Arabidopsis thaliana: one gene and its partner. The protein of the gene in region 1 interacts with the protein of each later gene in a pairwise test. Each region holds a gene or a part of one and is shown on either strand. Other genes may lie near its edges.

The links. The genes of interacting proteins can lie anywhere in the genome.
Region 2: the proteins of AT3G07260 (region 1) and AT4G00390 interact in a two-hybrid assay, tested with the Arabidopsis thaliana proteins (one large-scale study listed by BioGRID).

The regions. Positions count from the first base shown.
Region 1 is NC_003074.8:2,305,777-2,312,752, reverse strand, and holds AT3G07260 (SMAD/FHA domain-containing protein), read right to left. Parts: upstream 3,145-6,976; 5' UTR 3,050-3,144; coding exon 2,467-3,049; intron 2,296-2,466; coding exon 2,123-2,295; 3' UTR 1,770-2,122; downstream 1-1,769. Other genes in the region: AT3G07255 (nuclear transport factor 2/RNA recognition motif protein), read left to right, coding at 4,427-4,880, 5,037-5,464; AT3G07250 (RNA-binding (RRM-RBD-RNP motif) domain nuclear transport factor 2 family protein), read left to right, coding at 6,282-6,308, 6,391-6,525, 6,605-6,857, 6,948-6,976. UniProt on the Arabidopsis thaliana protein: May play a role in the control of plant organ development. Does not show transactivation activity in yeast.
Region 2 is NC_003075.7:169,273-176,078, forward strand, and holds AT4G00390 (DNA-binding storekeeper protein-related transcriptional regulator), read right to left. Parts: upstream 3,574-6,806; 5' UTR 3,473-3,573; coding exon 2,378-3,472; 3' UTR 2,215-2,377; downstream 1-2,214. Other genes in the region: FDM2 (XH/XS domain-containing protein), read left to right, coding at 1-59, 145-432, 535-747, 946-1,176; GPAT8 (glycerol-3-phosphate acyltransferase 8), read right to left, coding at 5,040-5,443, 5,790-6,264, 6,767-6,806.

The DNA of each region.
Region 1 (6,976 bases):
TTGAAACAACTTGCAATATAACATAAGAGGATGACATAGCCATATCATTAGCACATACCACAATTATTAACACATAGATATCTCTAAAGTAGGTAGTTCCGTAATTAGTATTTAAACAAGATCATCTCCAATATTCCATTTTTTTTACGGACCATCTCCAATGTTCATTTTTATATTATTTTTTATTTAAGAAATTTTTTTTTATATAAAAAATTTTAGTCCATTATATATATCTAAAATAGAATTTTCTCTAAAATAAAATAAAGGCACATTGAATTATTCTCTATATTTTAAAATCTCCTTTAAAATAAAATAAAATATGCATTAGAAATGTTTTAAATCATATTTTCACTTATCCGCCTAGGCTTTTAACATATGTTTACTATTTTAATTAATGCTGTAATTTTGAAAATCCAAATAACTTCTTGAAAAAGACAAAAAAGTAAAATAGTGTCTGTAACCAATCACTTTTATAGATTTAAATTTGGTCGGATTAAGATTTTGAATTTAGAAAATAGCCTTGTATCTGTATCTAAAAAAAAAACAACGTTGCATGCCACAAGCACGTTTTCCTATTGTTTCTTATATCCTTTTTAATCAAACAAAATTGGAAATTTCGAGGTGATAAGAAAACCAAATACAAGAATCTTATCAAAACCTAGGTTAAATACTTACTAATTAATTTTGATGCTAATCTAATTTTGTAGCAAGGGTAATGACTAATGAGCCTGGAAACAAACTTCAGCTTTACAATCACTGTGAGTTTGTGACTGCAGCAGAAGATTAAAAAAGAAAAGAAAAGAAGAAAAAAACTTCACTCAATGATTGAAAAAAAAAAAAAAAAAACTTCACTCAATATATATATATATATATATATATATATATATATTAATATTAGCAACTCTAAGCACCAACTTCACTCACGTTATCATATGCATCAGTTTTTTTTTCTAAGAATTTTGTCATGCATCAGTCTTTTTCTATTGTTTTTGTAAGTAAAAAAAAAATCGAAGAATCTTACCAAAACCTACGTAAAATACTAAATAGTAATTAATTTATCTCACAAAAAAAACTTAAAACTATCACTCAATAACTTAGGGAGATTTCTCTGTATATTGTTTTAACTTTTAAGTAATAATTTGTAGACAAATAAACATGTAAGCAAGTGCAAGTTGTACGGCAGCAATATATAAAACGAAAGTTGGTACTAAAGACGAAATTATTGGAAAAAAAAATAATAAATGTTATTGCGAACAGCCTAGATCTTGACCACCGATAAAACAAGAGAAGAAAGTTGATTTTTGGGTTTGAATAAAGTGGTTTCAATTTTCATTAGGCCAAAAAGTAAAAACTTAATAGGCTCAAGTTTGTAAAATAAACTTCTAATTTGTGATGATCACTCTTGTGATGTGTTATGTGTTAAACTCCAAACGTTTTTGAATGATTGTATGTGTTGACTTTTAACAGTGTATGCGTTGACTAAGTGATGTACAGTAATGAGACGGGGAAAATCATACTAATATTTCCTTCCGACAACTTTATCTGTACTATGCATAGTACTTTTGAGACAACTTTATCTGAATTTTGTATAGTATACTTTTGGGTTGTGATATATTTTCTCGTTTGATTTTTCTTTTCAACTAAATAATATGCAAACCAAATCCGCTTTCGCCATAAGAAAACAACTAAAAGGTTAAATTTACCCGAGAGTGTATTAATGTTGAATAGCCATATAGGCTATAGTATGTATATGGCTGAAAATAGCTTATGCGATTTCTTGAAGAGAGAGAAAAGGTTAAATCCGAGAGTGTTTTACTCATCAATGTCATTGTCATTCTACATATACAACGTAACAAAGAAAAGCGAGAAAAACTTAATCCGACGAGTCACCAAGGTCAAAACACCTAACACCCACTTATACACTCATTACGTGGAAACATAAAAGATATACTACCAATCATCCTGCTCCTGCACTAACAATCATCTCGATGATTATGAGAGTAGGGTAACGAGGGAAACGAATTCAAGGGTAACTCTTCCCTTTGATCTCGTGTTGATGACGAAATGCTCCGGGTATTTTCTCAGCAGCATCAGCAAACCGTACCATGGTTTACCTTTTGCTTCAGGGATAGCCCAGTCTTCTTGTGATAGGTATCTTCTTACTCGACTGTGATGCCATACGTTTCCATACTCCTTTAATATCTGTCACAGACCAACCACTACCATGCATTAGCTGCAAAAATTGTTGATCATCAGCTTCACGATCTGCCTTTGATCTTCCCTCTCTCTTCTTCTCTGCACAAATGAAGCAGATACAATGTCGTGGTGTCACTATCATTCAATCTAAGTCTAACAAGGTTCAATCATCAACCACCACAGTAAAACTTATACTCAAAGTCTAGAACAAGCCTGAAATCTATTTAGTGACACAATGAAGTTAAGCTATCATGAGCAATTTGGTTTTACCTCCAGAGGCATATACTCCTTCATGTCCATCTCTCCATGTTTTCTTTCCACTGCCTCTGATATCCTCCTCTTCATCGTCGTCTTCATCATCGTACTCATACAACTCTCTACTCCGGACGCCATTCTTACCCGACCCGGAACCTGGACCCGAATGATAATTATGGTACGGAACAACAGTAGCCTTCCCTAAGACGTGGTGCCTGGGTCCCAATGGACCGCCTAGGATACTCCAAACCGGAAGCAGGAAGTAGAACTCCTTGTCACCAATCTGCAAAAGGTCCTGTGAATCGAGCTTGACGTTGGGGTTCCCAGGGAGATGGAGGACACCTTCAACGAAGCAGCCATTTTTGCCAAGTACCTCGAGAGAGAAGCGTCGTCTAGTGAAGTCATAGAAGATCCGAGCGTGGTTGCGAGAAATGTTCATCCCACCGCCGAGAGATGAGAGGTCGACGTCGACGGTCGATTTCTTAGAATTCCGGCCGAGAATAATGGAGTAAGACTGCATATAGTACTCGAAATCCTCACCTTGGAGCTTCGCAAATCCAACCTCTACATCGCTCCCGCTTCCAACGGCTGTAGCCATGCCGTGAAATTTCTCCGATTTTGAAGTCGGAGATCAAATTTGGGGTTACATAGTAATAGAATGTGTTTGGAAACCGGTTTAGATATGTTGTGGTTAAACCGTACAATGAAAAATATAAAGGCTTCTCAAGTAAATGACTATTATACCCATCATGTTTTCAGCCTCTCCACTGTCAATGTTACGGGCCTTACGGCGATCAAATCAAAACGGGCAGTTTGTTTCCACGGCTAACAAAAGAAACAGCTTTAGTTGGGCCTTATCTAAAAAGCATCAGCCCATTAACGTGAACCGGATCTTATGTACATAAACCCAGTAGTATGTAATATTCGGGGATAAGCATGACATTGACATGAATATGGATCATGTGATAACCGTAAGGCTTGAAATTATGATGATAAAATATGATGAAAAGTTCATAAGAATATCGTCACATTTTTGTCAAAGAAATAGCAAAGTCAAGAATGGTTTTCTTTTTCTAGAATCTTTGCTTTACATTTTGTTAAACATTTAATCAACCGAAAAAATCACAACGAGAAAAGAACATTTGCTATATTCCACAGTGTATTCGCAGAATCTTCCTTTGTTTTTCTTGTCAACAATTCAAATAGTCTCAATCCTCTTTCCACTTTCCAGGTGCAATTCATGCAAGAGTAAGGCTGGAACTTGTGATAGCCAAGCTATAATAAAGCAACTTCAACAAGCTATTCCACTATTCGAATAAAGACACGAGTCATCTATCTACTCAACATAATTCTTTACAGCCATTTGTCATCTAGCACGTGCCCATGAAGCCAGCCAAACATGAACCACGTCGACACACATCAGATGAGAATAACCGTTACGGCGTCATTTGCTGACCTGGACTGTCTAACCTATTGCACTGTCTCTCGAAGATGGTCGCCACATGTCAATCCCGGGGTCGTGTTTATGCTCGAGATTCGCGGAGTCAGATACGAACACAAGAATTCAAAACACCCAACGTGTCCTCGTCAAAGCCAGCAGGATCTCAGTGTACACGTGTTAACTGTTTCCATGCACGTGTTACACGTGGCGTCTCGGTACTTTTCGTCAAAATTTTACTTGATTTTTACAACCAATGGAAATAGAAACCAACAAAATAAATGGAAAGCGTTTATCGATAATCCGAAATTGTAGCGCTAATAAAGTTTCTTAACCTTTCTCTTAGTGAATTTTGAAACCGCCCATGTCCACTATCCTTATCGGACATGTGTCATGTTCCGAAGCCTTTACCATTCTCTTTTTAATTATCTCCGCCCCTTATAATATTCCTTTCTCATACAACAAAGTTGGCGAAGCTTCAAAACCCTTCAAGAGGAAAATTTTGCGGAAGACAAGAGACCATCTTTTTGACATTATATGTTTGTTGAATCTTTATCAATGGCAGAAAAGTTTGTAGAAGATGAGAATGTGGAGGTCGAGCTCGAGCTCGAGCTATGTCTTTCCCTGGGAGGTCCTTTCAAGAAAACGGAGAAATCTAAAACATTTGGACAATCTAACGCCGTCGGATTCGAGAAGGATAACGGCGTTAATCTTGACGGCAGAACGACGAATGTGACGAGGATAAAGGAAACACGGAAGAAGCGGGAGGCGAAGCAGCAGCAGAGAAGCGGAGAAGAAGGAGAGTGCAAGAGGATCAGAACAGAATATAACGGAGTTAGTAACGGCGATGATATGGATTTGAGCTCTATCAACATGTGTAACGGTTACGGGTCGGGTCGACTCAAGGAAAGCAGTAAAGACGTTACGATTGGGTCACCCATTTGCACCTCCTCCTCCGTATCCGATCCTAGCAGCTCTTCTCGCCAAGAAGGTATATAACAACCTTCTTTTAAAAATAAACTAAAATTGGTTGGTATATGTATATAGTTTTTTTTTAGTATATAATTCGATGTGTTGATTCTGTTAAAGAATCACGAAAATTATGCTATTTGCATGTAGATGATTTTGAATTATGGTTAATGTTCAGGTGGAAGTGGCGACATTGGGGCACAATCTGGCCAAACCAAACAGGTTAGATCTCCGGTTAACAACATTCTGACCGGTACAGAGCAAACCGTGCATAACACAGACGGTTCAAAAGACGCGGAGACCCAAGAATGGTCCAACTCTTCTGTAACCAAAGAGAGTGGGAAGCCGCCAAAACCGCATACCAACAGTAACGGTAACGGCAGTTTGCTTCCGTTTGCTCAGATGCCTTGCGTGACTAGCACCGGTAACGGTCCCGAGGGCAAAACCGTAAATGGTTTTCTATACCGTTACTCAAAATCAGAGATCAGTATAATCTGCGTCTGCCATGGAACGTCTTTCTCGCCGGCTGAGTTCATCGTTCACGCCGGTGGGACTAATGTGTCGCATCCGTTGAGGCATATAACCGTTGTTCCCTCAACTTTGTGAACTACAAATTTACATATTTTGTTACTCTTTTTGTCTCGTTTTTGTGTATATAAGTTTCACCGATGGACGTTTTGAGTTCGAAGGGACTCTCCATCCATGATTTTCTTAGAGTTTTGTTTTTCCTTGACATTTTTCAACTAATTTTACACTTAATTTGTTGCATTGTCTCTCTTATTAACGTATCAGTAAAAGTGAAGAATTCGTGTAGTTGTATATATATTTGTTTATTTATGCAATTTCATATGGTTTGAATTCGTCAACAAATATTCTCTAGTAATAAAGCAGTTAAAAAGTAACAGATTTTACTAACAAACAAACGAAAACGCTCAACGATTAGTGGCAACAAATGTAAATATAAACATTTTATGAAATTGCATAAATAGGACGAAAAATCCAAATAAAAAGAAATTCTCAGCACCTTCTTTCTCTCGCGCTCTTCGTCTCTTCCTCTGTTCTTCCTTCTGGTGAATAACCGTAGGAACCGCCATTGGAGTGGGTGTGGAAGAACTCGGAGCTACTCAATACTCATATTCAATCTTCTTCACTACTTCGCTGTAATTTCAGGTGAGTCTTCTTTCAGCGATTCCGGTTTATCGTTGGTTCGAGGATTAGATCAGCGATGCATCTTTTGCTTTTGATTTAGTGAAACGTGAAGACAATCTCTATACTTCTTTCGTCATTTCTTAACAAATAAGTCATTTCTTTTGTGTTAGCCGCTGCTTCTCACCATTTCTTTTATGATTATGTTCGCAAGATCTAACGATTTTGCGTTTGGAACTTGATTTGAGATACAGGGCATTGCATATTCTCTGTATCGATGGATCCTCGTCCAAATACTGCAAAGGTGGTATATAGGATCCAACAACTGTATGCTCTGTTCTTCGGATTTCATTGTCCTGTGATTGTAACTCTCTGTATAAACGTAGGTGGGGGATGAGTTTGCAAGGCAGTACTATAACACCTTGCAAAACGCCCCGGAGAATCTCTATAAGCTTTATAAAGATAAGAGTACGATTTCACGGCCTGGACTAGATGGAACGATGCGTGTCTTCACTTTATCGGTAAAGATACTTTTCCTGATTGACTTAGTAACTTTGGTGAAATCTTTGTTCTCTTGAATGATTCCTAATCTTGGAACAGAAAGATCTTAAATGGCGATCTCCTGGTAGTTTTGATTCGGTTAAGATAACCAGCGTCACGTCCCAAGACTCTCTTAAGCAGGGTATCCTCGTCGTTGTTTATGGCTACCTCACTTTCAACGAGAGACCTGCAAGGCACTTCACACAAGTTTTCTTTCTTGTTCCCCAAGAAAAAGGCTACATTGTTTGCACCGACATGTTCAGGTTTGTTGATATACCCGAGGCCAATGCAGCCATTCCTCCTGCTAATGATGGTGAGTAACAGTTCAATTATAAGCAGCCTCCATATTTTGCTTTGCGAGGAAGTAAGTGTCTAAGATCTTGGTTTAATGCGAATGGTTCAGTCATAGAGGAGAAAGTTCCAGAAACGGAG
Region 2 (6,806 bases), on another chromosome or scaffold:
CCTCACGTGAGCAGAAAAAGGCTGACGAAAGCGTCTTGAGACTTGTAGAAGAACATCAGGTATATTCCTTCATAGCACACTACTTAAACTGACCAACTTTACCTACCTGTTTTGTGTCTGAGTTTGAAACTCTCTCTTTGCCAGAGGCAAAAAGAAGATGCTTTGAACAAGATCCTTCTGCTTGAGAAGCAGCTAGACACCAAACAGACACTGGAAATGGAGATTCAAGAGCTAAAAGGCAAATTACAAGTGATGAAGCATCTGGGGGATGATGATGATGAGGCGGTCCAGACGAAAATGAAAGAGATGAATGATGAGCTGGATGACAAGAAAGCTGAGTTAGAAGATCTAGAAAGTATGAACTCAGTCCTGATGACAAAAGAACGCCAAAGCAATGATGAGATACAAGCAGCGCGGCAAAAAATGATTGCGGTACAGATTTCTAATGCTTTAGTGTTCTTGGGTACTGATAGAGTTGCATTTTTGCCATTATCTAGTATTTTAGAATACTCAAAAGATTGCTCTTTGATCCAGGGTTTGACAGGATTGTTGGGTGCCGAGAGCGATATCGGAGTAAAAAGGATGGGAGAACTTGATGAGAAACCTTTCCTGGATGTTTGCAAGCTGAGATATTCTGCAAATGAAGCTAGGGTTGAAGCTGCCACCCTTTGCTCTACATGGAAGGAGAACCTTAAGAATCCATCATGGCAACCATTCAAGCGTGAAGGAACCGGGGACGGAGCAGAGGTAGGTTCATTCCTTTTACAAGTCTTTTATATGACTTTGAAAAGTATCTGGTCTTTCTCCCTCTCTGGGCCACTGTTTTAGTTAAATATGGAGTAACCTGTGATTTCTGTGAACGTTGATACTTGTATACATATGTTGGTACAACTGTTTTTGTTTTTGTGAGTTAGCGGTAATGGTGTTAGATGTTAATGGTTACAGGAAGTGGTAGACGAGGATGATGAGCAGCTGAAGAAGCTTAAAAGAGAGTGGGGAAAAGAGGTGCATAACGCAGTAAAAGCAGCTCTTGTGGAGATGAATGAGTATAATGCAAGTGGTCGGTACCCGACTTCAGAACTGTGGAACTTCAAAGAAGGAAGAAAAGCCACTCTCAAGGAAGTGATTACGTTCATTTCAACCGACATAAAAAATCTGAAACGCAAAAGAACCTGAAGGTATGCTAAATCTTCTTCAGTTGACACAGGTCTCCTTATATAGCTTATATAGTAATGTGCTGGTCCAAAACTACGTACACTACATAATCCGAGAAACGTGTAAAAGGTTTAGGGTAGAAACTCGTCAAGAAAATACTGCAGAGGCATGATCTCTTTTGTTGACTTCAGTTAAAGAACTTGTCAATTATGATCTGGTCTGGCTTTGGTCTTGCGCCATTTTGATTTGAACTGAAGAATCCAATGGTCTTCTACTTTTGGTTGCAGGATTGGAGAAGCAGGAAGAAGAAGAAGAATATTAAATGGTTAAGCTTTTTGTCTAATAAAATTATTAGGATGCTCGTATGCTCTCTATGGAGACTAATTTCTTAAACCTTTTGATTTGAAAGAATTCGAATCTGTAATTATTGTAATCTTGGTTTATGCTTTTTGTTTTAAGTTCTTGTTAAAAGCCACCTAAAATGATGATCAAACAAGTTTGTGTTAAGATTATTTTGGCATGTAACATAGTCAATAATCTTTTTATTAAGGTTTCTTCTTGGCTTATTTTGGACGAGTTAGGCAGTATCTTAATAGTAGTAACAAAGCTTTAGTTTTTGTAGTTCATAAGTCAAAAGCTTTGAACAAAACAGTGTTATCTTCTATACCAGACACAAAAACTGTGTTGTTTATATAGTTAAATCATCCTGAAGCAATGTGACTAAATTTTTTGTAACCAAGCTATATTTGCATTGCTATGGTCTTGTTTTGTGACCAACAGACTTGGATGCAAAGTAGGTATAACTTGCTAAATGTCTGATTTTGGAAATAACTTATGAAGAGAAAATCTTCATTTGGTAAGAGTTGTTTTCTCAATGTAACAGTTTACTCATCATTTTCAAACTCCAACTCTCACAGAACACAATCAAGTTACAAAGTGCAGATGCTTATGGTTGGGAAGCTTTACCTAACAATGGTACAAGGCGGTTTTGTCAGGAACATAGATTCGTTCTTGGAGTTGGTACAAGAACTTCTAAAAGACAAAGATGAGGTATAATAAGGACAAGTTGACGAATAAAAAAATAAATATTATAACGTAGAGAATCTTTCAACCCCAAAAAAACAAACCAGAAAGAATCAAATCCTAAATCCGAAAAACAAAAGAAAGCATTATGCATAGCATTACGATACAAAAAACCGACAAATCTAAGTAACTAGTAGCTCTAGTTCTTCGAAGCATCAACGAAGTAAGACGTAAGGTCAGTCAAACGCACACTCTTATCCAACATAGCCTCAAGCTCTTTAGCTTGCATCAACTGAAACTTCTCTTCAACAATCTTCTTAGTCTCAAGAGTAAACGAACTCCATTTCTGCCTCACATAATACTCATCAATACCCGAACCAGCAATCATCCTAGCAAGAGACGACTTCTCAAACCAATCATCTCCATTAGTTGAAGAAACACCAACAAACGCCAAGTCTTGCTTTACAGAATCAAGCTTCTCCTTCGTCTTACTCGCACTCTTTTTCGACACACCGTTGGACTTAGCATTAGAATCAAGAGCTATTCCTTTAGGTCCCCAAATAAACTTTGACAATTCAAAAGCTTTCTTATCATGAGCTTTCACAAACCTAGGTTCGTCCTTTCCTTCTTTAGCACGGTACTTCTTCCTTAAACTCCTAACCTTATCCGAGAATTGACTCTTACTAACCTCAAAGCTGATAGATTTCTTCTGGAACTCGTAAAACGCATTAGTATCTGCGGAAGGAGACTTCCCTGTATCAGCATGATAATCTATCATTCCTTGTAACATAGAGATTTCGTCATCGTCACTCCATAGTCTTTGAAAAAGTGCTGGCTTCTTTACACTCTCTTCATCTTTCTTGACTCGTTTCGTTGAAGTCGTCGCAGCTTCACTCGCTGCCCTCTTTGCTCCAGATTTCACCGCCGGTAAAGCTAAAGTAGCAGTCGACGACGACGGATCATCTTTCTTCTTTGAAGCGATTGTTTTACCGGATCCAGATTTCGGAGGATCCGTCGATTCAGAATCCGAATCTGTTTCACTCTCCGAACCAGAATCGGAATCAGCAGCGGCGGAGACGGCGGTGGATTTAGAAGGAGCAGCGGCGGAGACGGAGGTGGATTTAGCTGGAGTAGCGGCGGAGACGGCGGTGGATTTAGCAGGAGCAGCGGCGGTTGTGGCGGGAAGGGATTTGATTGGTTCGTCTTCTTCAGATGAAGAGGAATCATCTTCGGAAGTCTCGACGTCATCTTCGTCGCTTGAAGGTGCCGTTGGTGGATCGAGTTTCTTCGTCATCGGAAGTTTCAAAAGAGCAAATCGGAATTTTCGAGAGAAAGAGAAGATGAGAAGCTTCTTAGGGTTTGTGAGGAAGATGAGAAGCTTCTTAGGGTTTGTGACGAAACGATGATAAGTGAAAAGGAATATTTATAATCAATTTCGATATTCTCAAACAATAATTGCGAAATTTGCTTTCCTTATTCAAATCGTTTCATATTTCCAATGTAGCAGTTCCCGTTAAAATTCCATTGTTCTATGAGTTAAACAATTAATATTGTCATTAAATTAAGATTCTAAATCTCAAAGAATATTATTTGTTAAGTTTTATAATCTTATTATATAAAAATTTTTGATTTGTCTAATGTTAGAAATTGTAATGAAAGAGTAATTTAGGTTTAGGTCATGACATTAATGACTAATCATAATAAGTACAATTTCACATTTTTGCTTATTATATACAAATCTTTGATTTGCCTAATGTTCCCATGGATCTCATTCTCATACAAATCATAATAAGATCTCATTCTCATGGATCTCATTCTCATTAACAAATATTTGGTGAAGGAGTTTAATATTATGTATAATTAAAGCCCACTAAAAACTAATATAGAAATTGTAATGAAAGAATAATTTAGGTTTAGATCATGACATTAATGACAAATCATAATAAGTATAATTTCACATTTTTGCTTCACATATTTTCGCACTGTAATGATTTTTTTGCTTTCATTTCATTTTTCTGTTAATTGTATATATACAGAAATATCTATATACAGAAATATATTCATTTCTTACTGCCAATGTTTATAAAATCATCCCAAAAAATACAGGAATATGAGTTTCTTTTTAATGAATTGGCACCAATAATATAATACATCAAATCCCAAGTTTTCGTCTGTTACTTAAATGATGATAATGTAGACATTTTTACATTGGAACTCAAAATTCATGATCTCTTGTCCGCCAACACTCTCATGATGATAATGTAGACATTTCTACGTTGGAACTCAAAATTCATGATCTCTCGTCTGCTACACTCTCATATTGATATCACCATTTTTCAATTCGGTAAAACGAATCTAATTTCTCTAAAAATAAAAGAAATTATGACAGTGTAATAAAAAGTTTTTTTGTTTTTTTGTCAAGAGATTTTTTATAAAAGCGTATAGTTAACAATGATCTTATTTAGTTTGTTAAAAATTTAATTATTTTTTTCAAAAAATTGCTACTTTTGCAACAAAAAAAAACCATAATTAATCATTCACAATTCCACCGAAACATAGTTTTATTCAAACATATATACGTCGTATGTATTTACATTTGCATGATCCAAAATTTACTTCCTCCAATAAAATTTTGCACTTTAAATAGAAAGTCTCTATACACATCCGTATAGAAACGGGATCACAAAATAGTTTTTAAGGATATAGTTACCCGTTCGACATTAAGAACAAAATAGAATAAACATAACAATAACGTACCATAATGATGACAAGAGCTCAAGCAATTACACACATGAAAATTCGTATATGATCCAACCTTACTTGCAATAAGTCAATGCCAAGTTATAACAAGAATAAGATATTCACTTCTTGGTGTTGTTGATAGACTCCACCTTGCCGTCATTACCTCCAAGCAAAAGATATTTATCCTTGCGAGTAAGTTCGGTGCATTCGAAGCCCAAAACCGCGCCGATAACTTTCTGGACGTAATTAGCCACCTCTATAGGAGTCTTGCCACCACCGTTGACAGTCATTTCTTCAGGCAAACGATCCAAGAAAGTGGCTTCATAGCTTGGTCTTGGGTTCATGAAGAAGAAGTAAGGGTCCCAAAACTTCACACCCCTAACTGTGGTCCCGTTGAACATTCCTTGTTTACAGTTCATCGCTACTGGCACAATCCGGTCGCTTAGCTCTGCGAATAGAGCGCTAAATCTCAGTAGATACTCTTCTCTACACGTCGTGCCTTCCGGACATATCACCAAGTCGCCTGTTATACACCAAAAACATATCATTAGCTCAACAACTCCATTGATTTTTAATTTCTCAACTAAAGATTAATGTGAATGTAAGTCAATATTCAAAAGAAGTAAACAATATTATTTTATGTTCATTTATATAAATTTGGTTAGAAGATGCGTTAATTAGGTACCAAAGTAAACATCAAAGACCATACCAAAGTAATATTTACTATATTGAGATTTGCATGGGCTACTATATATGTATTCATCGAAAAATAAAAAGAAAGAAATAGAAACTCCTATTGAACCCCCTGGACAGTGAAACTTGTTATAGGTATGCTCTAGTAATATATGATGAGAAGATGTGTAAAGTACCTTTCTCGAGAAGTTTTCTCATGTTGGCAGCATCGGTGGCACGGTCACGGGTGAGGGCAACAGCAGGAATAGGAGAAAGCATAAGGGAGAGACGAGAGACACTGTAAGTGACGCAACAGATCTTACGTCCAAGAGCAATAGCAACGATGATGGGATCAAGCGCGGTACGGTGGTTAAGGACATAGAGGTTGCCAAGAGTTCCAGGGGAAGGAGGTGGAGGACGATGACCACGAATGGTTAAGTGGATCCCGAGCATCTCGTAAGTGTAACGGACAAATCTTTCAGGTAAAGGGAGGTTGAAGTAGACGCGAATGATGGAGAGGATGAAACCAAAAGGAAGCCATAGGTATGTGATAATGGCGTTTAACGGAGTTGGACGTTGCGCTAAACGCCCATCATGGAAGACTATGCGGTTCTTTAAGCGTTCTTTTGGAATCGTTGTGGCTGACTTGGTCGCATGAACCATGTAACCTTTCTGTTATAATACCAAAAACGTTATTCATTTCAAACTTATAACTAAAAGTACTAGGAAAATGTAACATATCTCTAAATTGTGTAATCAAGATTCAAAAAACTAAGCATTAAACAACAGAAGATTGTTTATGATATTTCAAGTATGTGTTCATTAAATGGACAGCCCAAAATGTTGGTGGAACTAGTAAGGTGGTTGGGGATAGAAAAATAATCCAGAGGGTCACGTGAAGTGATTGGTTGGATACATTTATGAACCTTACTAATTGCTTCCAAATCAAAAATTTCATTATTTTTATAAGATTCACGCGTAGACATAATGACACTAAACCAGTCAACAAGTTAAATTAGATTATCTAGCTTAATCAACAAGCAAATCAAACGTTTGCTTAGATTCTCAAGTTACCTCCAAAACACATCTTACACTAAACCAATCAACACTCAATAATTCAACTTAACTTTACCCTATAATCGACCAAGATTGGATAAAAAGATTGGAACAGTACCTTGCAGAGAGACATGAAATCATGATCAGAGGTTCGATCA